Linked DNA regions of Sus scrofa. The protein of the gene in region 4 purifies or fractionates together with the protein of the main gene of each other region. This does not show direct contact. Links are inferred from orthologs where the notes say so. Each region holds a gene or a part of one and is shown on either strand. Other genes may lie near its edges. The genes, in order: CEBPB, BCL7B, HDAC2, SMARCA2, DPF2, RBBP4 and BCL7C.

Evidence for each region.
Region 1: the proteins of SMARCA2 (region 4) and CEBPB purify together in Homo sapiens (affinity purification with western blotting; 5 studies listed by BioGRID and IntAct, with this or other methods). This does not show direct contact. The link is inferred for Sus scrofa from reciprocal best matches to the Homo sapiens genes SMARCA2 and CEBPB.
Region 2: the proteins of SMARCA2 (region 4) and BCL7B purify together in Homo sapiens (affinity purification with mass spectrometry; 3 studies listed by BioGRID, with this or other methods). This does not show direct contact. The link is inferred for Sus scrofa from reciprocal best matches to the Homo sapiens genes SMARCA2 and BCL7B.
Region 3: the proteins of SMARCA2 (region 4) and HDAC2 purify together in Homo sapiens (affinity purification with western blotting; 4 studies listed by BioGRID, with this or other methods). This does not show direct contact. The link is inferred for Sus scrofa from reciprocal best matches to the Homo sapiens genes SMARCA2 and HDAC2.
Region 5: the proteins of SMARCA2 (region 4) and DPF2 purify together in Homo sapiens (affinity purification with mass spectrometry; 6 studies listed by BioGRID and IntAct, counting the BioPlex papers as one, with this or other methods). This does not show direct contact. The link is inferred for Sus scrofa from reciprocal best matches to the Homo sapiens genes SMARCA2 and DPF2.
Region 6: the proteins of SMARCA2 (region 4) and RBBP4 purify together in Homo sapiens (affinity purification with western blotting; 3 studies listed by BioGRID, with this or other methods). This does not show direct contact. The link is inferred for Sus scrofa from reciprocal best matches to the Homo sapiens genes SMARCA2 and RBBP4.
Region 7: the proteins of SMARCA2 (region 4) and BCL7C purify together in Homo sapiens (affinity purification with mass spectrometry; 4 studies listed by BioGRID and IntAct, counting the BioPlex papers as one, with this or other methods). This does not show direct contact. The link is inferred for Sus scrofa from reciprocal best matches to the Homo sapiens genes SMARCA2 and BCL7C.

What each region holds. Positions count from the first base shown.
Region 1 is NC_010459.5:51,721,145-51,724,314, reverse strand, and holds CEBPB (CCAAT/enhancer-binding protein beta), read right to left. Parts: upstream 1,683-3,170; coding exon 642-1,682; downstream 1-641. UniProt on the Homo sapiens protein: Important transcription factor regulating the expression of genes involved in immune and inflammatory responses. Also plays a significant role in adipogenesis, as well as in the gluconeogenic pathway, liver regeneration, and hematopoiesis.
Region 2 is NC_010445.4:10,866,306-10,870,912, forward strand, and holds the start of BCL7B (B-cell CLL/lymphoma 7 protein family member B), read right to left. Parts: upstream 3,010-4,607; 5' UTR 2,840-3,009; coding exon 2,748-2,839; intron 1-2,747. UniProt on the Homo sapiens protein: Positive regulator of apoptosis. Plays a role in the Wnt signaling pathway, negatively regulating the expression of Wnt signaling components CTNNB1 and HMGA1.
Region 3 is NC_010443.5:79,898,798-79,902,952, forward strand, and holds the start of HDAC2 (histone deacetylase 2), read right to left. Parts: upstream 2,801-4,155; 5' UTR 2,536-2,800; coding exon 2,484-2,535; intron 1-2,483. UniProt on the Homo sapiens protein: Histone deacetylase that catalyzes the deacetylation of lysine residues on the N-terminal part of the core histones (H2A, H2B, H3 and H4).
Region 4 is NC_010443.5:219,773,613-219,777,450, forward strand, and holds part of SMARCA2 (probable global transcription activator SNF2L2), read right to left. Parts: intron 3,236-3,838; coding exon 3,109-3,235; intron 1,163-3,108; coding exon 989-1,162; intron 1-988. UniProt on the Homo sapiens protein: ATPase involved in transcriptional activation and repression of select genes by chromatin remodeling (alteration of DNA-nucleosome topology).
Region 5 is NC_010444.4:6,883,557-6,887,986, forward strand, and holds the start of DPF2 (zinc finger protein ubi-d4), read right to left. Parts: upstream 2,943-4,430; 5' UTR 2,818-2,942; coding exon 2,786-2,817; intron 1-2,785. UniProt on the Homo sapiens protein: Plays an active role in transcriptional regulation by binding modified histones H3 and H4. Is a negative regulator of myeloid differentiation of hematopoietic progenitor cells. Might also have a role in the development and maturation of lymphoid cells.
Region 6 is NC_010448.4:88,985,534-88,990,125, reverse strand, and holds the start of RBBP4 (histone-binding protein RBBP4), read right to left. Parts: upstream 3,035-4,592; 5' UTR 2,750-3,034; coding exon 2,734-2,749; intron 2,167-2,733; coding exon 2,019-2,166; intron 1-2,018. Other genes in the region: ZBTB8OS (protein archease), read left to right, coding at 3,555-3,651. UniProt on the Homo sapiens protein: Core histone-binding subunit that may target chromatin assembly factors, chromatin remodeling factors and histone deacetylases to their histone substrates in a manner that is regulated by nucleosomal DNA.
Region 7 is NC_010445.4:17,546,157-17,550,643, reverse strand, and holds the start of BCL7C (B-cell CLL/lymphoma 7 protein family member C), read right to left. Parts: upstream 3,099-4,487; 5' UTR 2,909-3,098; coding exon 2,817-2,908; intron 2,246-2,816; coding exon 2,167-2,245; intron 1,829-2,166; coding exon 1,720-1,828; intron 1,621-1,719; coding exon 1,459-1,620; intron 1-1,458. UniProt on the Homo sapiens protein: May play an anti-apoptotic role.

The DNA.
Region 1 (3,170 bases), on a different chromosome or scaffold from region 4:
CCCCAAAAGGCTTTTTAACCATTCTCAAAAAAAAAAAAGTTTATTAAAAGTGTTCTTAATGCTCGAACGGAAAAGATTCCCAAATATACAGATGCCTCTTTTCTCATAGAAATAGATTATTTTTTATAATACAAAAAAAGACCAAAAAAACAACAACAAAAACAAAAACAACAGCAACAGAAACAACCCCGTAGGAACATCTTTAAGCGATTACTCAGGGCCCGGCTGACAGTTACACGTGGGTTGCGTCAGTCCCGTGTACACACGCGTTCAGCCATGTTTAAACCGATTGCATCAACTTCGAAACCGGCCCGCCCGCCGGCGCCTGGAGAGGGGGCAGGAGGAGAGGCAGAGTTTATCATTCATCTGTACACATAGACATTTCTTCTTTAAATAACACCACGGGCGGGCGCCTCATCTGCATGTGCGGTTGGTTTGGACAAAAATATAGATATATATAATAAAATATTAAAATTACCGACGAGCTCCCCGCGCTGCCAAGTGCCCCAGTGCCAAAGTTTTGCCGGCGCCACTGGGGGCGGGGGCGGGAGCGCGGGCGCTTCCCGGAGTCACTGTGGCCGCGGCGCGCCCGGCAGCGCGGAGGCCGGCGGGCCGGCAGGGGGACGCGCGCGGGGGCCGCGCTAGCAGTGGCCGGAGGAGGCGAGCAGGGGCTCGGGCAGCTGCTTGAACAAGTTCCGCAGGGTGCTGAGCTCGCGCGACAGCTGCTCCACCTTCTTCTGGAGCCGCTCGTTCTCGGCCGTGAGCTCCAGGACCTTATGCTGCGTCTCCAGGTTGCGCATCTTGGCCTTGTCGCGGCTCTTGCGCACCGCGATGTTGTTGCGCTCACGCCGGATCTTGTACTCGTCGCTGTGCTTATCCACGGTCTTCTTGGTCTTACTCTTGACCTGCGAGGGCGCCGGCGCCGCCCCCGCGTAGCAGGCGGCTGGGGGCGCCTTGGCGTCGGCGGGGCTCGGCGTGCCGGGCGGGCTGGACGACGAGGATGTGGACAGGCTCCCGCTGCTGCCGCTCGGCACCGCCTGGTAGCCGAGGTAGGCGCGCAGCGCATACGGGAAGCCAGCCGCCATGCCTGCGGCGCCGCCGCCCGGCGCTCCGGCCTCCTCCTTCCGCTTGCAGTCCGCGGGCTCGAAGCCCGGCTCCGCCTTGAGCTCGGCCGGCTGCGGCGGCGGCGGCGGGGGCGGCGGGTGTAGGGGCGCGAAGCAGCCCGGGTGCAGCGCGTTCTTGGCGGCCCCCAGACGCCCCAGGCTCACGTAGCCGTATTCGGCCGCCTTCTTGCAGTTCTTGCCCCCGTAGTCGTCGGAGAAGAGATCGGAGAGGAAGTCGTGGTGCTGCCCGGAGGAGGCGGGCGCGGGGGCGGGCGCGGGCGGAGCCGCCTCGAAGGTGTCGGTGGCCGTGGCCGGCGCCGGGGCCTGCGGCGCGCCCAGCGGCTCCAGGTATGGGCTGAAGTCGATGGCGCGCTCGTGGTCACCGATGCTACCCAGCTCGCCGGCGGGGGGGCGCGGCCCGGGTCTGGCCGCGGGGGGCGCCGCGGGGGCCGCCTTGCCGCCGTACGCAGCAGCCAAGCAGTCCGCCTCGTAGTAGAAGTTGGCCACTTCCATGGATTTAAAGGCAGGCGGCGGCGGCAGGGGGAGACATGCTGGGTCCCAGGCCACCAGGCGTTGCATGAACGCGGGTGCCCGGGGAGGGGGCCTGGGGCTGCCCGCTCCGGCCGGCCCGCAGGTGGCGCGGCCTCCTGGCTCCGAACTGTCGCTGCTGTGTCGCTGCTGCTGCTGTTGCTTTTTCCGCTGGATTGGCCGCTATTAGTGCGGGGGCTGGTAGCTGGACCCTCGGGTGGGTCCCCTTCCCGGTCCCGTGCGCGGCTCTGACTCGCTAAAGTTTCTCCAGAGCCCGGTTATTTATAAGGCGGGCCATGGCAACGGCTGCGTCACGCCTGGCGGCCGCCCCAACCCCTCCCCGGGCACGCAGAGGACACGCTGTGGCCGCCCGAGACCCCCGGCAGGGCGGCGGTGGGGCACCGTGACCTGACTGAAGATCTGGAGCGCGCCCTTGGGGGGTCCTCCGGCTTCGGGGGCCGCCACACGCCCCCTGCCCACCCCCACCCTTCGGACTCAGGATTGGAAGCGAGAAGAGGCGCGAACCCGCCCCCGGACCGCCCCCTCTGGGCTGGAGGCTGTACTAGAAGGGAGGGGGGAATCCGGGGAGGGGGCGACGCCATCGCCTTCCCCCACCCTAAACGCGGCCGCGGCCCGCCCCCTGCTGGAGGAGGCCGTGGCTTCAAGATCAGCGGCTCTCAGCCCCAACTCCTTAAGGAGGGGACGCGCCCCAGGCGGGATCCTGGAGACCCCAAACCCCTGCTCTGGCTATTGGAGAGGTAGCCCATCTCCAAAGCCCTTCCAGGGCCCGGCCCCGCCCCTAAACTTGCCCTCGTCCCCAACTTTTGGAAGGAGAGGATTTCACGCCTATAGGGACTTCTCTCCTAAATGCGAAGACTTGTGGTTGGGGGCTTTGGGAGTGCAAGTCTGGAGCAAGCTCCACTGGAGCATCTGCCAGGGGCCCGACCTTGCCCCTCTCCTAGCCCTGCCCAGCACAGCCGCCCGCCCCCTCAGACCACACCCGGGTATTCTCCAGCCCCACCCCACTCCCACTTGGGCACCCAAAGTGTAGAAGGGGGTGTAGGTGCTAAGCTCTGACATTACTGTGTCACCTTGCGCAGGTCACTTAGCTAACCTTCAATCCTTGAAGGTCTCAAAACTTATTATTAGTTGTATTATTGTCTCCACCACAGACTCCCAAACATAAGGCTTTCTGCTCTAAGATGCACAGCAGAGAGAAGGGCCTCTCCCAGGGTGTAAAGAGGCCCAGAGGGGGCATAGCACACCCCAGGTCAGATGGCCTCATGTCCCCCACTATTCTCAAAGAAAAGCCCTGGTCCCTACACTCTCAGACCTATTTGCCACCAGAAGGCCAAAACACCTGTTTCTGAGGCTTGTGCGAAAGGAGTTCTGCCAGGCCCCAGTGGGGGCTATGCAGAGAGAAGGGACTCCCCTGTTTTTCCCAGGCACCTACTGTGTGATGTGGGCGGACCTGGCCCCAGAGTTTGCATTTTCACCCTGTGGAGACAATGCACTTACTCCCCTGGTTCAGAGATGGGG
Region 2 (4,607 bases), on a different chromosome or scaffold from region 4:
CGTCGTGGCGCAGTGGTTAACGAATCCGACTAGGAACCATGAGCTTGCGGGTTTGATCCCTGGCCTCGCTCAGTGGGTTAAGGATCCGGCGCTGCCGTGACCTGTGGTGTAGGTTACAGATGTGGCTTGGATCCCGCGTTGCTGTGGCTCTGGCGTAGGCCGGCGGCTACAGCTCTGATTCAACTCCTAGCCTGGGAACCTCCATATGCTGCGGGAGGGGCTCAAGAAAAGGCAAAAAGACAAAAAAAAAAAAAAAAAAAAAAAAAAACCTCTTTCCTCACAGATGACAGCAGTATAGAGTGTCAGCACGCTTTCAAACTCAAATACACATTTCATCTAACTCCTTTCTCTCCAGTTAGTTCAATTTCACTCATATTTACAAAGGCCCTGCAGGAGATAAAGGATATGGAAGATAGGGTCCCTACCTAGGGAACTAATAGGAATGAAAAGATAACAAACCACTGTAACACATGAAGGTGACAAGGAAGAAGGCTTCAAGAGTAAGACCAGGACACATCCCATGGAAGGTAGAACTCCTATGACTCCTGTGGAACTCTGGATTGAAACACGATTCCATTGAAAAATAATCACAGGAGCAGGACAAGACGCTTTCAGCTAACAGAATGAGCTTACACTGGTGTCTGGAAGAGATGAAGGCCAAGACATGGAAATACTACTTTAAGATTTTATTTTACAGGGAGTTCCTGTTGTGACACAGTGGAAACTAATCCAACTAGTATCCATAAGGATGTGGGTTCGATCCTCGGCCTCTCTCAGTGGGTCAGGTATCCAGCGTTGCTGTGAGCTGTGGTGTAGGTCGCAGACACAGCTCAGATCCTGCATTGCTGTAGCTGTGGTGTAAGCCAACGCTTGTAGCTCCAAATCCACCCCTAGCCTGGGAATTTCCATATGCTGTGGGTGCGGCCCTAAAAAGACAAAGCAAAAAAAAAAGAAAAAGAAAAAGAAAATTTCAAGTCCAAATTTAAGGACAAAAAAAGCAAAAAAAAAAAAAAAGTAACTGCTGTTACTGTTGCTATAGCTGCTGCTATTGAGTAAACGATGACATCACAAAAATGTAGAGATTGAGATGTAACGGAAAGAATGAACTAAAGACCTAGGAAACTGGAATTAATTCCTGGACAAGCCACTCCATTTCCTCATTTATCCAACAAATATTTAATATGCAAGAAGCCTATGCTAGGTCTTAGACACACAAGGAATAAGATACACAGTCCTGACTCCCACAGGGCCCACATTCCAACTGAAAACAGACATCACACAACTCAGCTCAGTTAGAAACCTAATCATTAGATTTAACCATATCAAACTACCACTGCTGTAGGTTAAAAAGGCATATATAGGAGACATCTTATTCATCAACCTAATACAATTATGGAAAGTTCTATGTAAGGGACCTGATTTAGATAGGGCATCTTGAAAGTTGTCTTTGAGGAAGAAACTGCAGAGCTTAGCTAGGAGTTAACCAGGCAAGGGGAAGGAGAGGGTTAAGAAGGACACTAGGCAGCAGGAAAAGCAGTACGGCCCCAATTGAAAGATGGCCAGCATCCTAGAAAAGAGGGCAATTTGAGCCAGGCTGATGAGGCAAGAATGATCACCTCTGATCTTTATTCTAAGAGCAAGAAGAGATCAATGAAGCATTATCTCCTAAGTAGGGGAGTGCAGGAAGATTCACACTTGAGAAAAATGCTATGTGATAATGGACTGGGGAGTGAGCCAGCCCCGAAGCAGGGAGATCATCCGGAGGCTGGTACCGAGTTCGGGGTGAGAGAAGATGGTCATCTGCCCTAAGCTCCAGGTGGGGGCAGAGATGGCCGGAAGAGAAAGGTATGCCCATTCTTAGGTTTCATCAAAAAGGATTAGATGTGGGGGGGGGGATCGTTTATTATTTAACTAGTATTGAGTCCAACTATATATGAAGCCCTTAGAGATAAGGAACTTGGTCCTGTGTAGAGAAATGGACAAATAAACATTCAAGATAATAATGACCCTAAAGGAGGCTTCCTGGAGGGAGCTAACACCTTACCGGGGCTTTAAAGTTATTAGCAGTAATCAGCTAGAGAAAAGTACTTATGAAGCTAGAGCAAATAGTTGGCTGTGAAAAATTAAGCTGATAACGCACTGGAGTTCCTCATACAACATAGGCGGTCAACCAGCACCCGAGAAGAACGTTACAAGAACCGAGAGAAAATGCCCCCCCAGGTCGCAGCGTGTGGGCCGGTATTAGGGAAAAGAGCCGGCTTTTGATTCCGACGACCACTTGGTCGCATGGCAGTTGTTTACCCAGCAGCTCTCACCTAACTTAGACGACTTAATACGTACAGCGCTGTCTGGCCAACGTGAAATTCTCAGACTGTTAGTTACTATATGGGACAGTTCAGAACGCAAAAGGCTCCTAACGCTGACGGCCCCGGGGACGAAGCCCACACGAAGACCGGCGTGAAAGCCAGAACCCGCAAAGCGAGCAACGCCGGAAGACGGCAGCTCCCGCGGGCGCCGAGCTACCCGAGGGCAGGTGGGCGGGCCCGCAGGCCGGGCGACCTGCTGATTGGCCGCGGCCGGCGCGCCCTCTGACCTCACGGCGACGCCAGCGGCACCCTCCACCCGCCTCCTCCGCTCCCCCCTCCCCCCAAGCGCTGCCGGTCTGCTCCTACCCCGCCAGGCAGTTCGCCGAGGCTCTGGGCCTGGGCAAGCGACCCCCGCCAGCACCCTCCGCTTCCGCCCCTCACCATTTCCGCACTTTCTCGATGGCCGCCATCACTTTCTTGATGTCGTCCTTGGCCCGGCTGCGGGTCTCGGCCCGCACTGACCGGCCCGACATGGCGGCGGCGGGAGCGGCGGGGGCCGGGACACTGCTCCCAAGACACGGGGAATCGCGCCTCACGCGCCGCCACCCGCCCGGCGCAGCAGCGTCACCGCGGCCGTCGCCCCCACCGTGCGCGCGTGCGCGAGGAAGCGCGCGCCCGCCCTCCTCTTGAGGCTCGGGGCATCAACGCGCCTGCGCGCCCCGCCCCGGGTGCCCCACCCCGGGAGACCCACCCAGTGCACCACTCCCTCGTTGTCCTACCTTGGGTGTCCGTCCCAAGGCACCCAAGGAGTCCACTGGGCCCCCACGCAGGCCCAGGTATGCAGTGAGCTGACTGCACGTGCTGTGTGCAGGGTGAGGTGCGAGGCGCTGCAACCGGCGTCCCTGGATCTTTCCCGGGGGATTTGGAGATCAACACCTTCATCCTCTGGCCAGGGCTGCCGATATAACCTGTATTTTATGGACTTGACTCCCTACGGTACCGAGATTCTATACCACCGTGTCCTGCTGCCTTTCCTCTTTGGGGCCCTAGCTCCGGCTGCGCTCCAGCCAGAGAATTTCACACCTTCAGTATGCCTTCCAACCTTAGCACACATCTGTTCCCCACCTGGAATTCGCTCATCTCTTCATCTGAAGACCATTTACTCTTCCAACATCCAGTTGGAGCTTAGAGAAGCCTTCCCCTTGTATTCTGGGTTTCCGATTTGTCCATACTTGGCACTCTGCATCACTGTCACGTTTAATTCAGCAATTGTTGATTAAATGATGCCTGCATTGTGCAAGGCTCTGTGCTAAGTGCTGAGGACAAAATCTGGGGGTTTGCTTCCAGAGCTTACAGTTTAGTAGAACAGGCAGGCCAGAAAAACAGGTATTTATAAATGCTAGGCTCAAGTCATGCAAGTGCTATGACAACCCTAATCTGGATAAGGAGTATCCAGGGGCATCTGGGAACAAATGACCTTGTAGTTGAGCTCTGAAAACACTGTAGGTCCAATTGCTCTAGGGCCTGTGACCACAGACACTATAATGCTAAGTAAATGTTTGAGTGAATGTTTAACCTTCAGCGCAGCTCCCTTGCTCTGCCCCCACACACAACTCAAGGCATTTACTAGCGCTTGTGGTATGCGGGGAGGGTCCTATAGCAGCTGCTTCAGGAAATAGAAAGGAAGCAGGTGACAGTCTACATTACTAGATAGCGTCTACTTCTTTTACCTCCAGGGAAATGTCAAGCCAACCCCGAACTTGACAGAGTCTCTATGACTATTTAGCCTTTCATAATCCACCAACATCATGGCTTGACAAGCATATGTTGTCTTGCTGGTGAGAGGCCCAGGAATAGTGTCTGCCTGGCTGAAGAGTGGAAGAGCTGAACCAGCATATGGAGGGAAGGATGATTCTAGAAATAATGGGATCAAAGGTGCATCTGTTTCTCAAAGCCATTGATCCAAAATAGCAACCCAAGAACTACCAGAGCACCTGCTACATGCCCTTCTGCTGTGGACACCGTGGGTGATGCAGAAATGAGTAGGACTCCCTGGAGTTCTCTTGTAGCGCAGCAGGTTAAGGATCCAGCATTGTCACTGCAGTGGCCTGTGTCACTGCTGCGGCACGAGTTCAGTCCCTGGCCCAGGAAGTTCCACAGCCATGGGTGTGGTCAAAAAAAAAAAGGTGAGGATAAGGAATGCAATAGGAAAATAAAACATAAGACAGAGAAGGTGGTAAGTGTCGTGAAAGAGGCCAGCTCTCTCCAGTTCTGTTAATAGGGCACCCTGGTCTAGGCACA
Region 3 (4,155 bases), about 140 Mb from region 4:
CACTACTTTTATAAACATAATAGGGTTTTTGTGGTGATGAGAATGCAAGCTTTTGGAATTAACTACACACAGCGTAATATACTATCATATACAAAGAATTAGCATAATGATACCTATTCAATTTAATAACCTCTACAAAACATGTTATTACCCCCACCTCCCCAAAAAGAACCCAAAGCAAATTCCAAATATAAGCAACTACAAATTCCATTCTAAAAATGAGGCAAGGAAGAGCCAGAGACAAAAGACAGATAACCTAACCAGGGATAGATATCCAAACATTCGGTTAGTTATACACCTGCTGTTGGCCATCAAATAAAGCTTTATAAAGGTCCACCATAAAGTACTGACTAGGTCACAATCACAAGACTACTCTTTCTATCAAGTCTGCATCCTGCCCTTGGGACCACAGCTTGCTCCCATTCCCTCAACAAAGGCTCATCATAAATGGGCCCAGGAATATACAGCTATTGATAAAACTGACGCTTAGGTGTACCTCCTGGTTCTGCAGTTCAAGCCTGGTGACCACAAGTTTCAAGCAGCTTACTTCTCCAGAGCCTATCACTGTCAGCAACTAACAGCTGTAGGAAGAGCATTAGCACTAGTTACTCCAAACTTTTAAAACCTTTGTCCTTTACCCCAAGACCCGACAAGAACAAATCTCTAAACCTCAGAAACAATATTGTTTTAAAAATTAACTTACACATATTGTTATTTACTTTCCAATTTAGCCAGGCAATGCAAGGAAAGGCCAGTGACTCAAAATATGCATGAATTCTTAAAGAAAGAACTTTAAGAAGCCTTATAATAATTCACGTTAAAATTAAAATATATCCCTCTCTCCACCCCTCCATAACGGCATAATTTCAGATCAATCTGTATCACACATATAAGCGGACTTCTCAAAAAACAGGTCTTTAAAACATGGCTGTTACTACTGAGTATTGGCTACCAAATACTGAACTATTTAAATTTCTTTTCCAAGATTTTAGATTTTTCCACAATGACACAGGTGGTTATTTCATATAAACAGGCATCAAAATAATTTATCCTTGCTAACTTGAGATATGGTACAGCTATTTTAAAATTAAAGGCAGATTTATTCTGACCTAGTCCTCTAAGATCTTTCCACCACTCTTTAAAACTTTGTGATTTATAATACACTGAATGTGGCAAAAGCATCCAAAATTTGTATTGCTTCATTCAAACTGGATAGACCTTTTCAGGTCATTGAATCTAGCTTCTTTGTTAAATTTTACAATTTCTTTCTAGGAACTATTTACCTACTTAAGTTAATGCCTTTGTGCAATCTGTAAAGCAGCTAACTACTCTGTTTAGTGTAATTTATAGCATCCGGATTCAAAAAGATTTAATGTTACTGCTCAAACTGCAATTGAGAAGAACCCTTTAAATTATATGACTTTTACACACTGTTCCATGAGCTCAAGACTATCATTATTTATACCAATTTCTGCACTACTCCTCAAAGTTTTCCTGCACCGCGACTCCCACCACCTAGAAATAGCCTTCGCAAGCTAGATGCCAATGCTAGCTTCCCTACACCTCCAAAGCAGGGTATATTTCCCGATCAAACAAAGAGCAACAAAGAAGTGGGTGGTAACCACCTCACAGAGGCAAGCCAGGACCCATCGGGTCTGAGCTGCAACACAAGCAGCAGCAGCAGCCCCACGCTGCCCTACCACCGTCTTAATTTCCCGAGAAGACTGACTACCTCCAACTCGAAAACCCTCATTTTTATTGAGGAAGTGAAGCTTTTTCATTTGAATGCTAAGAAAGTGGCGCTCAAAGAAAGCGGCAAACAAAGGAGAGGAAAGAAGCCCAGGCAAAACAGCGGTGTGAGTGTACCCCAAAGCGGACGTGGGCCCCCACCTTCAGGAGCTACTCTCCGCTACCCACCCTGGTTGAGGGGTCTGGGGAGAGGCCGGCGCGGAGGAGGGGACAGCCTTTCTCCGGCCAGCCAGGGACGGAGGGGAGGGAGAGGTAAGGAGGGATGGGGGCGGGAGGGGAGGGATGGGGGCGGGAGGGGCGGAGCTCTCGCGGCCGTCGGGCTTTGTGTGGAGTCTGGGCCGGGGAAGCTGTTTTGACCCGGGGGGAGGGATGGGTACAAGGGGCCGGTGCAGAGCACCCCCAAACCTCCGCTCCCACGAGTGGCGGGCGGGAGAGGCGCGCGGGAGAACCGTCTGCTTCACACCAGCACGAAGCCTGGTAGGCCGGCGGCAGTCCGGACTGCCGGAGGAAGACGGCCAGGAGGGAAAAGTGGGGCGTCCACTTAGCCCCTGGCCGAGACTCCTGGACGGCGCCGGGTCGGGAATGGGTTAGGATGCGGCCAAACATCGGTCCCTCCTTCTGACCTGAACCCTCGCACCTGGGACCACTCGCGACGGCTGCTGCAGAGCCCCGTGCGGCTCGAGGCCCGGCGCCGCAGCCCTGCCCGCTACCCTCCCGCCAGCCCAGCCTCTCACCATCATAGTAGTAGCAGACTTTCTTCTTGCCGCCTCCCTGACTGTACGCCATGGGCTCCCCGGCCACCGCCGCCGCCGCCGCCTCCGGGCTCGGACTCCTGCTGCTGCTGCTGCTGCCGCCGCGGCTCGGCGCCGAAAGAAAAGGGCTGGGGTGAAGGTTGAACTGGCAGTCCTGCGGGGAAAGGCAGGCCAGAGGGAGGCGAGGAGGGGGTGCCGGGAGGGCTCGGTACCGCCCGGCCGAGGGGCCGAGAGCGCGGACCGGGGGGTGGCAGCGGCGCCAACTCGCGACACTGGGGAGGGGGAGGGGGCAGCCAAACCACCTCCGGAGGCCGAGGGGAGGTGGGATGCATCCACTGCGACTCCACGGGGGAAGAGGGGACACGACCCGAGAAAGAGGCCTCTTCAGTCCTGGGTAAAGAGGCCTCCTAATGATGAGCAACTTGCAGAGGGCCGCTCCAAATACAGTCGTAAAATGATTTTTTTTTAAGGACAGGCTTTCTCTCCGTAAGTGGGTGAAGGAAGCGTGGAGCCGGATAAACGCTCCCCCCTTCGGCTCTTCGTACAGTGGTTGCGCCTATCCCGAGCCTGCGCAGTCGGCGCCTCCTCAACCGTAGCCCGGGCGCTTAGACCCCTTCCGCGACGTCCCACGCCGCTCCCCTCCCCCACTGTCGCGAAGCTCCTGCCCGGGCGGACCACGTGCTGCAAGCGCCGCAGGGAGACCCCTCTCTCGCACTCCTTTGGCCTTGCCGAATCCTCCAGGCAGCAGTCCACGGACCCTCAACCGAGTCTGCTTGAATTTCATTTATTTTTTCATTTTTTGCTGATTTTTGCTCAGAGGTTCTTATCTATTAAGGGGACCTGTTACAGATATTAAGGAGTGGAATGTACTGCCTAGGTTTGAATGGGCATTTTATGGAATGCATTTATGAGTTAGACAGGGTTCTAAGCATTTGCATTTATGATAGATTTCATTGATACCCATTTGTAATAGGTACCAGTTAACTCATTTGAGACGCCCAACAACGCTGGGATGTAAGTATTATTTCTAGTCCTTCTTTATAAATGGAGCATATTAAGGAAATTGGTCTTCTCAGATGTTAATGGTCTAGGGTTTGATTTGACTTTCTCCAAAATCTACATACCCTAGCTACTCCGTTATTACTGCTTCCGCTGGCTGGGCACTGGAAGATTGGAGCAGAAAGCTCAGAGAAAGGACTTTCAAAACTTGGAATTTGTGAATACCTTTGTCACTGTGTCAAGTCAACATTTATCAAGTAGCTACTCTAAGCCAGCCACTTTATAGGGGATTGACAGTCTGCAAAGGAGAACTCTTAGCTCACTCTACCATTTACAGTTTTCCTCAAAAACACACTCCTATATCCCCATCAAAACAACAGCAAAAAAGGCCATATTAAAGTAGGAACCAGTCAGAATCACTACCAAGATCCTCTTTATTTTGCTATTTGACTTCAAAATCCCCAAGTAGTACATACTTACAGCAGCAATTTTCCTGGACCTTGCCCCCCAAAAATTTAGAAAAAGTAAGTTGAGGGTAACCTCCCTCCCCCTCCACCCAAGTCTGTATTTTTAGCAGGCACCTCAAATGGTACAAGAACCACCTTGTGAGAAACCTTGGCTTAGAAGTAAAAATTACATGGTATTGATGGTAAAA
Region 4 (3,838 bases):
AGCAGGACCAGGGATTGAACCCATGTAGCGTTCATTACTGCTGAGCCACAACTCCTCAAAGCTTGTTTTGATGCCAGCCTATGGAAGAGAAGCCTCCCAGGCCTTGAAGGCATGGGTACATGACAATGGAAAGATCAAAGATGGAGAGGAACCCACAAAATGGTGACGACAAAATTTAAAGCAAATAACATTCAAATAAACCTTGGGGAGAGGAGTCCCTCCAGTGAGAATCATGTTATAGAAGTAGTGTTTCTTCTCCTCTAACTTAAATACTTCAGAATTGTGACTCAAAATAAGTTTTATAGGAAGGTAAAATCACCAGACATAATTTGTGTCTGCTTTTTAAATAAAGGAGAGGAAACGCATAACTGTATTTACACGAAAGTCCAACACTTTTCAAAACAAAACTAAGCATTGCAGAAATTAAGCTCAAAAAACCCAAACAGAATTGATAGGATTATGACATGAAATCAAATCCTACATCAAAATATTTCCAAATCCCTAGAAAGGGATGTTTTAAAATATCTGCCCCTGTGAAAACCTCCAACTGGGCCCTTGAAAGCCCCTGTATACTATATTTATATTTGTTACAAAAATAACTGTTTGCCCTCCTCTTTCCTCTTCCAAGTTCCCTCTCCCCTAGGATTCTGTTCTAGGAAACCTGCCTATGCCCACCCAGACAGCAGCCTCCCATGGGGTTAGAAATAAGGCACCGTACTGAAATTCAGAAAGCAGGGTCAGTCCTCCACCTTATCCTGCTGTGACTGCTGGTGTCACCTGGGGCAAGTCACTCAGGCCTCTGGCTTGGCCTAAGCTTCCTCAACTTTAGGAAATGGAGTGGTCGGACCACGGATGCTCCCATGATCCTTTCTGTGATGTCCCCACTGCCCACATCCCTTTCTCAAGTGGTTCTGACTCCACCCAGTTGCCTGCTTGGGCAGCCGTCCCATGAGGGCACCCGGACCTGCACACACCCCCACCCCCGCACCTGGTGCTTCTGCCGACGCTTCCTCTCCTGCTCGATCTTCTGCTGCTTCTCCAGCTTTTCTGTCATGCGGGCTTCCCGCAGGGTCTGGCGCTTGCTCCGCTTGTATGCCTTGGAGTTGAGGGCCGTCTCGAGGGTTGTGTCCCGCCGCATGCAGGCCACCACCTCCTGTCTCAGCTGTCAAGAGAGGAACAGTGAGAACACCCCCTCCCCCAGACGGAGGAGGCTGGGCCCCTGTCCCTGGCCCTGCTCCTATTTCCCTTTAGTTTAGTTCCCCCAAGTTTCTCCATCATAGTTGGCTCTTTTGGTTAAGGAAGGGACTACATCATGCCAGATATATGTGGTATTTTCAAAGATGCTCTAAGTTTTCTTTACAAATAATTCAGATAAGAAGCAAGTACAGAACTGTTAACAGTGTAAAAAAGTATAGAGGTCGTCTTGGTTTGTAAATAAATCAATTGATTTGATTTAATTATTCTAATGATATTAATGAGCTAATAAGCCTTTTGTACTCTTTTACTTCACCTTAAGTGCCATGCTAACATTCTCTTTGAGTTTAAAGATTAACATGCATGGTGTTGTGAAAAAAGAATAGAATCACTTCCTGTTCATGTGCAAGAGCTGCAGATACTGAAACAATATTAATTCACTGTCTCACATAAAAAAAAGGGAAATACCAGTGGCTTCTTCCCACTCCAAACAATATTCTTCACAAGATACTTAATTTTTTTTATTATATCATGGACTTCTTTTAGATTATCATGAATGTAATATCCATATTATATATTACGTGGTGATAGAAGGAGGGGGATTGGAAATATGCATTAAAATAATTCGACTGAATCTGAAATCAGCATCAATATAGTTCATTTCATTGGAAAACTTCATAAATAAGAGATTTTTCAGTAATACGAAGCAAAAATCAGAAACCAATAAGAATGCAGCAGAGTGAAGCTAATTTGAATATAACATGATTCCTGAAAATATTCCAGATTCATACTCATTCAATAAAATTTACTAAATACTTTATCAATGCATTTTATGAAGTTACCTCTAAGAAAGAAGCAAACGAAAGTTTTTTCTCTTTTTTCTTTTCTTTTTAAAAAAGATTTAAGCTCTAATCTACTCTCACAAACCTATGGTCAAATAGCCACCAGTCACTACAATGTCCTCTTATGATCTTATAACCAGTGAGGCAAATGTATTTCCAAACTCATATGACAATAGCAGGCAGGGTGGCCTTGTGATTTTAGTCACACCCTCCAACAGACCAAGTCATATAATTCATACTTTCAAACTACTTTTAGTCGTGGACAATTCATCTTATATGACCCAAAACCTTCACCCAACAAGCCCATCTGACTGGTTAGGAAGCATTCCTGTCACCCTTTGACTAAATGAGGCAGTGTGAGGACCAGGAAACCTACAGCCTTTGGATCCAGAAGGCAAAACTCATCAAAATAAAAATCAGCTCTACTTCATTGCACTAATCTCCTACAGATTTAGAAAATATAAAACAGACTGCTATGCTAGTCTTTATTAATCAGTGACTACTAAGACCATAGCAAAAACAAAACATATTAATTCACTGATTACTCAGTATGGGGGGTCTGATCTGATCAAATATTCCAAAAGTAGTTTGTGATGACTAGTCAACTGTTATAAACCATAGTTTTATGTATTTCTATAAATGATGAGCTATTAATTTAGCAGAGTGGTTTTCATATCTGTTAAAATGATTTTCATAGTCATGGCTAGGATTTTACATTTCTGTTTACAAAGAAGCTCTGATCTATCGCCTTATTTTTCTTTGAAGTCATAAAGGCAAACATGAGCTACCCCATTTGTTCTCCACTAACAAAATGCCATAACTCTGACTTTGGAAACCATAATAGGGGAGGAAAAAAAATGTCTCTGATATACAGAAGAGGAAAATAGAATAATAAGCAGTTCATCTTCATTACTTTTAGCTCTATGCTGCTGGTCGAAAAGATATACTCTTTTACTAAGTTTATATCTTTATAACAATACTGAGCTGACTTAAGGAAATGCACAGATTACACTCTGGAACAATTACATTTATTTCCTACATCTTAGACGTGCTGGGGAAAAGATATTATTACCTGACGTTGGAAATTGAGTAACCGAAGTGCTTTCAGTTCCACAGTTGCTTTGGTTCGTAAATCCGGTGGCAAAGAGCCAGGAAGATTTTCCAGCTCCTGTATCCTATGGGCTATGCGAGCCTGAAGTCTAAAGGAGATAATAAAAGGGGGGGGGAGAATAGACATTACGATCTGGTCCTAAGTGATAGACAACAACCTTAGGTTGAAGTTCACGGCAAAACATCTTCCAGATACTGATGGCGGATTTCTGACACCCAACCAGATTATCTGAGGTTAAACCGAGAAAAGCTACCTTTGCATTAATACAGATGGGTGCTATATGTGACTTAACACTCTGGCCTTCTTCACAACCTCTCTCTAACAGCCAGGAAGACTCAGACTACATAAGAACAAAGTCAAGCCTCATGGTTCCCTCTGAAGAGAGAGAGAAAATCAGAGACAGGAAAATCTGACTTGTTCCCAAGTGCTTGGCCAGCCAGAGTACAGAGCTGAGACAACAGAGTGCTCCTTCTAACTTCTAGTTAGTTCTGTCCTAAGGCGACGAGGCCATTTGCCCTCCTTGCCAAGATGCTGATGATGACAGCCGTTAAAGCTGAGTGAACAAGAGCAGTTTTAGGTGCTGAGGCCACAGAAATCAGCCAACCCAAAACATTCAGAGAGAGAGAAAGCCCTGCCAACCACAACCACTTCCTCTGTGAGCAGTGCTTGCTTGAGAAAAGAAAAAGCAAAT
Region 5 (4,430 bases), on a different chromosome or scaffold from region 4:
GAGAGAAGGGAACAGGCTCATATTTGCTCGCCTTTAGGAGGCAGCCCTGTCTTGACTAAACAGAGGAAAATTGGATAAACAAGGCTAAGTGCAGCAGCTCCTTTGTTTCTGCTGATGGGAATTGATACTGACGCTGCAAGTCAAATGGAAGGAAGGGCCAGACAGGCTGAGAGCTGCAAATTCAGAGCAAGGAGGCTGCAAACAGTTTGAGGGGGATGGATGAGGGATGTCCTATCAGCGCTCTTATGAGTTAAGCGGGATTTCAGAAGGTGGGGCAAACTGTCTCCTGAGTAACAGAGCTGAGAATGAAACACACGTTGGAGGGAGAGAGGATCTGATGAAGACAGAGCAAGAGAGAATGGGAGAGATCTCTTAAGAAATTTCAAATTAACATCATTCTCCAGATCTCAGAAGGTTTCAAAACCAGTCAGCAACCGCAACTCTTTATACTATTATTTTGACTTAGTAAGATCCCTTAAAGGATTGTTTGAATTCTGACATCACATTTGGGAGGGGCAGAGAATTTACAAATAGGAAAATTCTTCTCCTAGAAAAAGATGCGAGTCAGAAGAAATGGAGCTAGTAGTCCTGACCTCCTTGCATAACCTCAGCTGTCAGAGACTAGGCACACCATGATCCAGAGAAGCGTCAGAAAGACACCTCTTTCCAGGATGGGCATGGTAAGAGGAGAATGGAAGTCTCTTTTTAAAGGGCAAGTTGTTTAAAACTGCATCAACTGTAGTTGGCTTCTCATTACTAGTACTCAGGAATCAGTGGCTGGTGACCCTCACAATCTCTATAGCTCTTTAAAGAGAAATAAGAAGTCATGCTCTGTTTAAACGGGCAACCCTTCACTCCCAACATCACATGAAAGGGTTAGTAGCCCTATTTACAGGATGAAAGTCTTCCAACATAAAGACAAAGAATCTCATTACATACAATTTGTTTTTTTCTCTCTCTTTTTTGTCTTTTGTCTTTTTAGGGCCACACATGAGGCATATGGAGGTTCTCAGGCTAGGGGTCTAATCAGAGCTACAGCTGCGGCCCACGCCACAGCCATAGCAATGCAGGATCTGAGCCGAGTGTGTGACCTACACCAAGCTCACGGCAGTGCTGGATCCTTAACCCACTGAGAGAGGCCAGGGATCGAACCCGACACCTCACGGTTCCTAGTCAGATTGGTTTCCACTGCACCAAGACGGGAACTCCTCATTACATATAACTCTTAAATGAAGTCTCAACGAATCTTGAGCTCACAGCTAACAGCTAGGCAAGTCTGACATTCCCCCAGTACAGTAACGTTTCCAAGGTAGAAGCTTTGATTCTTTTTCAAGAAGCATGAAGTCTGTGTAGAACCTTCCCTTACAATGGGACAGGGGGAGTCAACAAAGAGAAAGGCAGGGAAACAAAGAACATCTGAGTCAGGCAGGATAACTATATAAATGGTAGATCAACAGCGTCATTTCTAAATTGAGGGAAATGTCAGCTTGAAGAGAGAGCTGGGGAAACTGGAGTGGGCAGATCAGAGAGAAAGATAATAGTGCTGGGAGGAGGGGTGGTTGAAAGAGGCAGCAGGATGGAGCTGAAAGCAAGTTTAAAAACAACAACAACAACAACAAAAAACCCCCACAAGAACAGAAGGAGAAGGCACTTAGCTTAATGGAAGTGGGAAAGCACTGGCAAAGAAAAGGCTCCAGGCAAGAAGAGGCAGAGCGGCACCGCACCCTTAAAAAGGGGCCCTTGGGGGGCTCAGCCCACCACCAAGACAGAGTTCCCAAACCTTTACCTTGTCATCCAATCAAAATCCCAAAGCCCTAACTGGACAACTAGACACCTCTCAATCTTCCTACCCTTGCACCAAGCCAAATTTACGCATTAAAAAGGAGCTTGCTCTATTCGCCCACGGGGCACGGAGCTGCAAAACTCATTCAGATTCTTCCTCACGGAGGGGGCTGGGTTAAATCAAGTCTCCAAGCATCTTTAACTCACAGCTAACGGGATTCTCCATTTACCGAACAACCATGAACTTTAACTTCGCTCGAAATCTGTCAGCCCAAGAGTATTGCATAGCCGGGCAGCCGGGGCGTCCGGGGCTCTGCATCGGTCCAGTGCCCGCTTTTGGTGGCTGGGATTGGCCGGCACAGAGGCCCTCTCCCCTGAAGTTCTTTCCCCTCAGTACCAGCTCTGCAACAAATTCTCCCCCGGAATATTCTTGGCCTTGGGTACCTGACACTCGAGGACCACCCCACCCCCCCGCCCGCCCGCCCGCCCCGGAACGTCACCGAGCTGTTTAGAACAAAACAGCCCAGCGGGGCTTAACGGCGCGAGGGCTGCGGAGCCTGCTCCCCCAGGGCCGGCTGCGGGCGGCCGATGGGGAGGGGTCGGCGGCGGGGCGTTGCGGGGGCTCCGGCCGCTCCCGGGTCCGCCCTCGGCCCGGCTCCACCGGACTGAGGCGTCTCGGGAGCGAATCCGGGACTGTCTTTCGTAGGCGACCAGGGCGCCATACTCTGGAAACCGTCAGCCCGAAGGGAGCGCCCAGACCGCACAGCCCCTCCGGGAGGCTGCCCGTTAGGGGCTCCCGTGTGCCCCCCTCAGGGCCTCCACAAGTTTCCAAAGAAGAGCAACGTCTCCTCCGGAGTCTCGGGTTGTCCTCCCCACTAGGAGTCGCAACATGGCCTTCCCAGGCAAGGCCCTCTCTCCGCCTCGTCCCTTCCCGCACCGCCCCCTACTCCCAGGCCCCTTACAAGACCTCCCGGCCTAGGAGGAAAAGAAAACGGCCACTCACAGCTTCACTACATTTTCCACCACAGCCGCCATCTTCCCGGCTCCTCTACCTCAGGCCGGGAGGCCCGGAGAGCGCAGCGCGCAGGCGCCGGGACCGCACGGGGAACCAGTTTCCTCGTCCTTCTGCGCAGGCGCCGCCCGGGAGCGCGCCCGAGAGCGAGCTGCCGAGAACGAGCTTGCCTGTTGGGGGCCGGGGAGCCGAGGAACTAGTGCGCAGGCGCAATGGAGACCGAGGCCGGGGCGGCGCGAGGCTCCAGCTCTACCTCCGCTTCTGACGTGTAGGGGAGCGGGAGAAGGGAGGGAACGTGTAACATGGTCCAGAAATGAGAAGGTGAGGGCTTGGTGAAAACTGGCAGGCCCGGAGGTGGTGTAGGTGAAGCTTATGCGTCCTGCTACCTCGCAGACCTTTAACCTCGTGGTTAACCCTTTGCCCTCACTTGCTGGCCAGGGGTTGGTGATAGTAGTAGGGCACAGTCCTCTTGAGCTGCCAAACACGTGCCCATTTTAGGGAAAGAAAAAGCAACTCCCAGAACCTGACGTTCTTTGGCCCGAATATTGGACTGTGACAAATTTGCCCCCATTCCTGCCTTCAGCTTTATCGGCGCCCAACTCTTCTCCCCTGCTTCCTGCTCCTAAGCTCATTCCCTCCACTTAGGCGCCGAAGACTATCCCTCTCTCTTGTGTACCATTCATTTCTGCTTCACTGCTGAATCATGCAAATTCGTTTACAAACATGACTTAAAATCCTCTTTTAAAAAAGCTCATGGGGCCGCACCCGCGGCATATGGAGGTTCCCAGGCTAGGGATCTAATCAAGACCTGCAGCCGCTGGCGTAAGCCCTAGCCACAGCAATGCAGGATCCGAGCCTTGACTGTGACCTACACCACAGATCAGGACAGCGCCAGATCCTTAACCCACTGAGCAAGGCCAGGGATGGAACCCGCAACCTCATGGTTCCTAGTCGGATTCTTTTCCGCTGCGCCGCTACGGCAACTCCTAAACTTTTTGAAATAGAGAGAAAATCATTGTATGTAAATGTAATATTAAATATACATATTAAACATTATTATTTAGCTTTACTCCTTTTTAAATATATTCAGATCCCAGTGGGAAACAGGTGCACAAAGAAGACGGTTCATTACAAAGGGGGTGTTAATGAGTGTAGCTGGGTCTGGAGGGACACCTGGGGGGGGACAGTTGCCTGGGGGTGTGTAGTAGCAGAGAAGTTTGCATCATAAGCCCACAGAAATGCAGGAAGAGGCACCAGTGGGAAAAAGGAACTATCAGGGGAGATTGGTGACCTCCAGTGAGGGCATATCCTGGCTGAGGTGCCCTTGCAGGAAGTGAGACTGAGAAATCCCTCACTCTCCCCCTCCTCCCCATCCTCTGATCTCTTGCTGGGCTCCCATTGGCTGAACCCAACCGGAAACCAAAGCCCAAGGGAACCCATAGATGTTCCTCTACCTAGGTCACCTCCTGGGGAGAGGGTAGGGGAGAGAAGGGTGGGAAGTGGATCTGGAGGGACAAATTCAAATGTTTTTAAATGATTTATATCCTCACATATTAATTTTGAAATATTGCCTATGTCAACTATAGCATTTCCTCAAACTATTTTATTTTATTTTTATTTTTATTTTTTTTGTCTT
Region 6 (4,592 bases), on a different chromosome or scaffold from region 4:
CACCAACTATTTCTCAAGTACTCTGCCACAAGTTCCTAGGTGGTTTGAACTACTGAGAACTGACAGAAATGATGCCACTTTCCCTGAACTCAAGTAATTCTGAGTATCAGCTGAATAATGTGAACTACTGGTCATGATAAAGCAGCTTCCAACTCTAAATTCCTAAGTACTTATTAACATATGTAGGACAGGACTCCCCCCTCCCCCACTTTTTTTGCTCGCTTAGGGTCACACCTGTAGCACATCAAGTTCCCAGGCTAGGGGCTGAATCAGAGCTACAGCTGCCAGCCACAGCCACGCTCTGAATCTGAGCCACATTTGCGACCTACACCACAGCTCACGGCAACACTGGATCCTTTAATCCACTGCCAGGGGCAGGGACTGAATCCACATCCTCATGGATACTGGTTGGGTTCGTTACTGCTGAGCCACAACGGGAACTCCAGATTTCCCCATTTTTAAAAAGCTACTACGAAAGTAGCATGCTCATTAAGTTGGCAATGAAATTTCTATAAAATTTCTATTACTTGTTGAGCTGAAACATAGGCCAACAACCACATTTTACAAATATCTTGACTCAAAAGACCTGAGTTCTGAAGGAACCTAGTTATTTAGCATACATATAACTTTCAGCTGTTACTCTGAACACCAACAGTTTTGTAATAAAAAATCCATTATTCCCCCAGGCACGCTCAGTTTGTTAAAGCTTTATACTACTTAAAGTCACCTTCCTTTTCACACTGTCACTTCCCACTGAAAGCCTTTCCTGATATTCCAAGTTGAGATAATTTTCCTTTCTCTGATCATTTTATCTTTGCCACTTTCATAATTATACCTGCCTATTCACTAGACTTGAAAGCAGGTACCATGTCACATTTACCTTTGCATTAACTAACTAGAAAATACCACTGACTGCCGAGATTCAAACATTTTGATGTTAAAAACTGAACTCATCCTGATAGTTTCTGAAAGCTGACAAGTTTTACATTACCATTTGGTCAACTACAGCTATAATCCCACTATTCAATTCAGTGTTAGGAAAAGGAAACATCTCCCACACTGCTGGTGGGAAAGCAAACTGGTGCAGCTATTATGGAAAACAGTATGTAAATGCCTCAGAAAACTAAGGATAGAGTTACCATATGACCCAGCAATCCTACTCCCCAGTATATATCCAGACAAAACTATAATTCAAAATGATACATGTACCGCTATGTTCACAGCAGCATTATTCACAATAGCCAAGACATGGGAACAATCTGACAGATGAATAAAGATGTGGTACATATATACAATGGAATACTACTCAGCCGTAAAAAGGAAGAAATAATGCCATTTGCAGCAACCTGGATGCAATTAGATGATCATACTAAGTGAAATCAGAAAGAGAAAGACAAATATCATTTATATTGGAGAGTCTAAAATATGACAAACCTATCTACAAAACAGAAACAGACTCAGATATAGGAAATAAATTTGTGGTTGCCAAGGGGGTTGGGAGAGGGAGCAGGAGGTGGGGGTTAGCAGATGTAATAAGCTAGTCTACACGAAAGTGGTAATAAACAAGATCCTACTGTATAACAAAGAAAATTATATTCAGTGTCCTAGGAAAACCATAATGGAAAAGAATATATATCCAAAAAAAAGTGTACACAGGAAACTGTGATTGGGTCACTTTGCTATACAACAGAAACCGAAGAAGCATGGAAAATCAGCTGTACTTTAAAAACATAACTGAATCACTTTGCCGTACAGCAGAAATTTACACAACATTGTAAATCAGTACCTCAATAAAAACAAGTAAATAAAAAGAAAACATCAGTATGTTCTCTCTTATATGCTAAACTGCAAAATAATTTTACATTTTGCCTTACTTTCTGGCCTAGGAAAAAAATGTCACCAATAGGCTTTGATCACGTGTCCTCTACGGGTGACTGGAGAGAGGAAAACAGGGAAAATCAATGTGAGAAATCTACACTGAGGACACAACAAAACAGCATTCGAGAGATTCCTATCACCTGGTTACATCTGGAAGCCACTGTGCAGTTAGGCTGGGCCACTCCAGAGCATGGGTCATCACCAAATCGTAAAGAAAAGGGGTGTTCTTTTTCCATATTTTGTACTCTTCGTTGATCACACGTTCTTCTACTGCGTCATCAAAGGCTGCTAAAAAATTAAGAACAAATTAAGTTAGCGACCACAAACGGAAACCGAGTAAACACTTCCAAAGCTACCGTCACGGCTCCTGAATCCTGATTCTGAAATGGAGATTAGTCTAGATCTCCCGGAGGCGCAGGCACCACCACCGCTCTCCAGCTTCGCCGGGCGGGAACTGCTCGGGTAATCCCGACCAGACACTCCGTTAGCCCTTCGGGCGACGGCGCCCGCCGTCGAGCGCACAGAACCGACGGTGAGACCGAGCACCGACCCCTGCGGGTAGGGAGAGCGGCCGGGAGGACCCGGAGAGAGGCAGGTAGACCGACGGGGAGCGCGGGAGGGACCAAACACCCCCCCCGAGGCCACCACGGCCAGCCTCACACCGCTGCGCCGGGCCTCCGCTCCAGAGGGGCTGGCGCGCCATGAGCCCGCCCCGCGGGGCGATTTTTCCTCACGCCTGCGATGGCGGGGACGGCCCTAGGCAGAGTCTGGCCTGCCCCCACCGTTAGGCCGCGTTGAGGCCGCGGCGCAAGCCTGACTCCTCCCGCCCTCCTGGGGCGGCCCCGGCACCCTCACCTTCCTTGTCCGCCATGGCGTACAGGCAAGCCGGGGGGATCCTGGGGCAGAGCGTTGCGAGAGGGGCGGGGAGGCTGCGAGCGCTCCTTCTGCGCGCGCGGCCTCTATTGTTTCCTGCTGCCCCTGCGTGAGGGCCGACTCGCGCACCTTCGCGCCAACATCGGCCAATCGGAGTGCGCCGAACGTCGGTGTGGGCGGGGAAGCCGCGATCGCAGCCTATCCAGACGCGCGGAGCAGCTTGCCTCCAGGCCCAGGCGCGCGCTCTGCCCCTGCCCCCACACGGCCCCAAGCCGACTTCCTCCGATCACGCGCGCGCGCTCGCGCGCGCGGGAGTAGTAGAAGTGCACCCGCCCGGGGTCACGTGAGAGGTTTAGTCCGCACGCTTTTGGGGGCAGCCATTTTCGTGAAGGGTGTTAAGCTAGCGACCCCTTCAAAGTAGTACTTTAGATGGGAAAATGTAGGATGCTTCCGGGTCTAGTTATCTATTGTGGGGCTAGGCGGCAAGAAAAGGCCTCTATCATTCAGATCGAAAGGTGTCTAATTCGTGTCCCTTATTCCACGTCCTCCAAATTATTTGTTTCCTTAGTCGTAGGAAGAACTATTAAGCAAGAGCAGAAAGTGGGTCCTTCGACTTTTAATGATGTGCTCCAAACCCTGGGACACAGAACGGAAGTCTAGAAGGATTAAGTACCTCCCAGGGAATGGAGCCCTGGTCCTTTAAGGGTGTGCCAAGGGGCGGAGTCTAGAGCGGAAGTTATAAGTCAGGGCCGAAGTCCAGCTGAAGAAGGGCGGAAGCTGAGTTTGGGTCCAAAAGCACAATCATGGCGCTGGAAGGGGAAGATTTTAGAGATTACAATTTGACTGAGGAGCAGAAGGCGATCAAGGCCAAGTATCCTCCAGTCAATCGGAAGTACGAGTGTGAGTAGGTGTCTCACTTCTCTCATTACCTGGGGCTTCTGGCCTCGCCTTCCACTTTGTCCCCTACGGTACTTCCGGCACGTTCCCTTTTAGCCCTGTTTGTCTCTTCTGTGCTTGTCCCGCGGATGCTGAAGGGAAAAGCCACCCGGTCTGAATCGGAAATCTGGGCTTCCACATTTAGTCTTTTGAACTTTTTCTACGTGTGCCTATTCACGCTTACTTTGTGGGAATTTTATTGGTGTATTAATTCTAAACACAACCGTGTTTTCAAGCGTTTGCGGAGTTGTCGTCTCCTAAGAGTGTGGCTAGGTTAGGGGACTGAAAGCTCTCAGTAGGGAACTTCTAACTTGGTGTTTTACCTGTATCGTGTTAGTAAAAAGACCTGGTTTTGCCATATTTAGTTAAGTGACTTTAGGCAAATCACATAACCTTTCTTTGCATTCAGTTCCTTCATGTGAGGGATAATTGAGATAAAAATAAATGTGAAAGTGTAGTGCAGACTCTGAAGTTCTATATAAACCTTAAGCTATCATCCCTAAAGGTGGCTGTGGTCTGGGAAGGACTAATCTGACTCTAATATCCCTGCTTAAAATATTTCATTAAATTCCCCTTGTCTTCAGTATAGAATCCAACTATTTACCATAGCTTACTAGGCTTAGTTCTTTCTGGACCCTGTATGTCTCCCTACGCTCATTTTTCTCTCACTTAGCAATTTTTAAAAATTACTTTTAATAAGTTCTATACATGATGCCAAATTCAAAAAGTACAGGGAGTTCCCACTGTGGTACAGTGGGTTAAGAATCTGACTGAAGTGACTCAGGTTGCTCTGGACGTGCAGGTTGGATCCCCAGCCCAGTGCAGTGTGGAAACCAATCCGACTAGGAACCATGAGGTTGCAGAGTCAATCTCTGGCCTGGGAACTTCCAGCCCAGATTTCTAGC
Region 7 (4,487 bases), on a different chromosome or scaffold from region 4:
ACCCTACCCGCTGGGAAGAAAACACAGGGAGGACATTTAGGTGGGATCCTGATGGGTGAGTGGATCTGATCATGTGGACAAACGGGGAAGTGGAGCACTTAGCAGGCAGAGGGAACACAGGCTTAGCGCAGATGCTGGGGCGGCACCGCCTGAGTCCGAATCTTTTTTTTGGGGGGGGGCATGCCTGGCATGTTGAAGTTCGCTCCCACTCAGGGATCGAACCCATGCCACAGCGACCCAAGCTGCTGCAATGACAACACTGGATTCTCGACCTGCTGCGCCACAAGGGAACTCCCTGAGTTCGAATCTTGACCTCGAGCAAGTGACTTAATTTCTCTAACCCTGTTTTCCCATCTGTCAAGTGGGGATAATTATAGTAATTACCACATCAGATGGTGTATGAATCAAAGGAGGTAACACAGGCAAAACCGTTAACACGGTTTTAATGCGGTGAGTGCTCGAGAAATGCCAATTATGGTTTTTTATATCAGTAAAGGTACACGAGCGTGTGCTACGATCCAGACACAGAACGGAGGCCTAAGTCCTGGTGTTCTTGGAAAGGAACAGTGAGGTCAGCAGGGGACGGTTCGGGAAGGGCCCAGAGTGCCAAGCTGAGGGGTCAAAGGTCAGAGGGAGCCATCGAAGGTTCTGAAGCTGGAAAATGACCCCATCAAACGCATGCTCTGGTAGCTGTGTGGGTGCAGCTGGAGGGGAACAGACCCATGAGGAGGCCGGAGCCGGGTGTGGGTTAGAGAGACGACAGGGCCTGGGCAGGCAGAGGAAGGCAGACAGACACATTGAGAGATGGATCTGATCAGACAGGGGACTGACTTTACGGGAAGAAAGAGGAGCTGATGAAGACTCAGGCCCAAGATCCTGGCTCGCTGGCTGGGTGAACTTGGGCAGCTTCTCTGGGTTTCGGGTATATCATCTCTCAATGGAGATCGTAGCCCTCATAGGGCTGCAGTGGGGATGAAATGAGATAAAACATGGAAAGAGCTTAGCGGGGTGTCGGGCACGCAGAAAGAGCTCAGTAAGTATTAGCTGTAACTATCACCGACTGTTAATCAGTCTTTTGATTATTACCTATTCCTCAACAAATATTTCTTGAGCACCTGCTAGGTGGTCCGCAGTGTTCCGAGGATACAGCCGAGAACAGGATCAAGATGGGCCCAACCTTCAGGAAGCGGACAGGAGGTGGGAATGGGGAAGAAAGATATTTAACTACTCAAAAGCTAAATTTACATGAAAATCTGTGATAAGTTATCTACAGACCCAAAGAAGCCAGAGGAAGGCCAAAGGCCCTAGAGGAAAGGCAGTCACTTTCCACAGGACTCAGGGATGGTCTCCAGAAGACTCGACACAGGAGGGGGACCAGACAGAGGACAAGTGGGGGGCTGCAACCTTGGAGAGGACAAGACACAGAGGAGAAGGTTCCTGGGAGGCACCTGGTCCTACCTCTCTCCTGGCCCAGCTGTGGGGGCTGAGCATCCTCAGGGACCCCTTCCGGTGGTCCAGCAGGTGACACAGGGCGGCTGGGCTGGGGGGTGCCCCCAGGGCTGGGCTCCGTGCCCTTTTGCAGGGAGCCTTCTGAATGGAAGCTCTGGTTACTGTTCTCATCTGTGGGAGCAAGAGCAGAAAGGGTTGGGTCTGAGGCGCCCAATCCCCTCCTTCATTCCCCACCGCTGCCCCAAAGCCCAGCCAGCATCCCCGACATACCGTTGAGATCGAGCAGGATGAGAGGGCCCCCCCCTCGGGGACTGGCGCCCCTGCCCCTCCGCTCGCGGCCTCGGGATCGCTCTGCGCCGCCACCTGCCCTCCGACGCTCCTGGGGGTTAGAGGACGAAGGGTTACAGTCAGCTTTCTAGTTAGTGCTTGCAAAGCCCCCACTGAACAAATAACGACATTGAGGCACAGAGAAGCAGAAGGCCCTCCGTGAGCGACAGGTTGTGCGCCACGGCGGCGGCGGCGGCGGCGTTAGGCCGTGAACTCAGGGGGTCTGGTGGCGGGGGAGGGGAAAGAGGCGGAGTTGCTAATAATTGTTAACATCTGTTCCCGAGGCTGCATGTAAGGTCTAAGTGGGGACTGGAGGTGGAGGCCAGCCGCCGGGAGGGGCTTGCCCGAGGTGGCCCAGATGCAGGGCCTGGTGTGGGGGAGCTTGCTCACCTCTTCCTGGGGGTCCACCACTGGCACCCACTTGAAGATACGCAGGGAAGTGTCACCCACAGTCACCCAGCGCTTCTCCCTGTGGGACGGTGGAGGGACGGGGTCAGAGAGGCCTGAGGAGAGAGCCAGCCCAGGAGCTGGATGTATCTGGGGATACGTGTGGAGGTGGGGGTGGTGCGCAAAAGAAGCGGCAGCGTGGCTAATGGGACTTGGAGGGAGAAGCCCGGCAGACCTCAGGGCATAGGTGGGGGGCGGGAGAAAGAGAGAGAGGGAGAGAAAAAAAAATAGGCTGGGGTCACGACGCGGCAGACCCCTGGGGTATACATGGAGAGCGCGACTATAGGCCTGGGACCACAGCCTCGAAGATCCCGGGGCACACTTGCGGGAGGAGTGTCAAAGCTTTAGGGGGCGGGGCATAAAGGGGGGGTTCCAGCTCTGGGAGGGCAGGGCTGGGGAACACGCTTTGTAGACCCCAGGGTGTAGCCAGGAGAAGAGAGATAGAGCCCTGCAGATCCAGGACGCAGCTGGGGGCGGCGGGGGAGAGGGGCACACCTAACACCTGGGGGCCACAGGTGGCGGAGGGGGTGTGGACGTGTCGGGGGAGGAATGGCCCGCCGTGGCCCGTCCCTGGCCCCCGGGGCAGCGCTCACCATCTCCGGACCTTCTCGATGGTCGCCATCACCTTCTTGATGTCATCCTTGGCCCGGCTCCGGGTCTCGGCCCGCACGGTCCGGCCGGCCATGCTGGCGGGGCTGGGGCCGAGGCCGAGCCCGCGGCTGGGCCGCCTCCCGTCCGGCGGGCTCAGGCTCGGCGCCAGGCCGGGGCGCCGCTCTCTCGGCCTGTCGCCCCTCCGGGAGTTGGCCGCGCCCTCCCTCGCTCCCCAACGCCTCCGCGAGTCCCCGCCCCGCTTCCTGCCGCCGCGCCCCGCCCCGGCCCGTCCCCGGAGCCGCCCGGCGGCGCGGGCGGCCAGAGCCCAGGCCTGGAAGCCGGCCGGCCCCGCCCCGACCGGGCCCGCCGCCTCCGCCTCGAGGCGCCCGGACGCGCAGCGCCCCCTGCCCGCGGCCGAGAGGGAGGTTGGGGCAGCTCGGCGACTGGACGCGCGCGGCGGGGCTGCGGCCGTGCGTTCAGACCACGTGGGCGCCAGGGGGCGCGAGAGGATCTGTGTCCCGGGTGCGACCGCTGCGCGTGGGTGGACCCTGGAACGGTGTGTGTGTTTGTGTGTGTGTGTTTGCGTGTGTGTGTGTCCCTTGCTCGGCTGCCTGGTTCTACGCTGCAACTATCTCTTCATCCATTCATTCTACAGGCTATTAACTGAGGGCCAGTTACGTGCCAGACACTGTAAATGTACTGAGTGCCTCTTCCACCCTCCAGAATGGCTCAGATGAGACCTTGCCAAGTGGAGGCGAAGTAGAGCAACTGGACCTCTCATATTTCTGGGGGAGTGTAAATTGATAGAGACACTTTGGAAAGCTGGCGCTTTTCTAGTGAAACCGAACGTACACCAACCCTGTGACCCAGCAGTTCCGCTCCTGGATGGTTAACACCCATCAGAAATGCGTGGGTAGGAGCCCCAAGGGACCTGTACTGGAATGTCCATAGCTCTGTTCCTAAGCGCCTCAGGCTAGAAACAACCCATCCACAGGGCCATGGAAAATAAATTGTAGCCTGTTCACACCATGGACGACAGGGCAAGGAGAGTGATGTCCTGCTACACACAACATGGGGACGTCTCGTGAAAGAGGTCAGAGAAGCAATACGCCCTGTGATCCCATTCAGAGAAAGTTCTGGACAAAACCAATAAATGGTGCGAAACACCGGGGAGAGTGGTCACCCTGGGGACTGGGAGGGGCTAAGAGGGGCCTCTGGGAACTGGTCAGATTCCGTTTCTTAATCTGGTGCTGGTTCCCACGGCATATTTACTCTTGGAAAATTCGCGGAGCTGTACATATAGGATGTGTGTACTTTACCCTGTGTCTATAGCACGTCAATGAAAAGCTTACTTAAAATACATGTGTCTTGGTTGATTTTGTTTGAGGCTGTGTTTGCCAGCAGGTATGACATTCTAAATTTGTGTTGCTGTGTGTGAATGTGTCAAGGGTGTGGCTCTCGGGTCTGTGTGTTTTGGTGTGACTATGTTCAGAGGTGGTTATGACATCATTTCTGGGCCAAATCGCTGGGGTAAAATCCCAGCTCTGCTTGTCCAGTGACCTCAAACAAGTCACTTATCACTATTTTCTCAGCTGTAACATGGGAATGAGTTAATATACATGTAACTCTTAGAACAGCATCTTGCGCATAGTAAATACCCAACAAGAGTCACT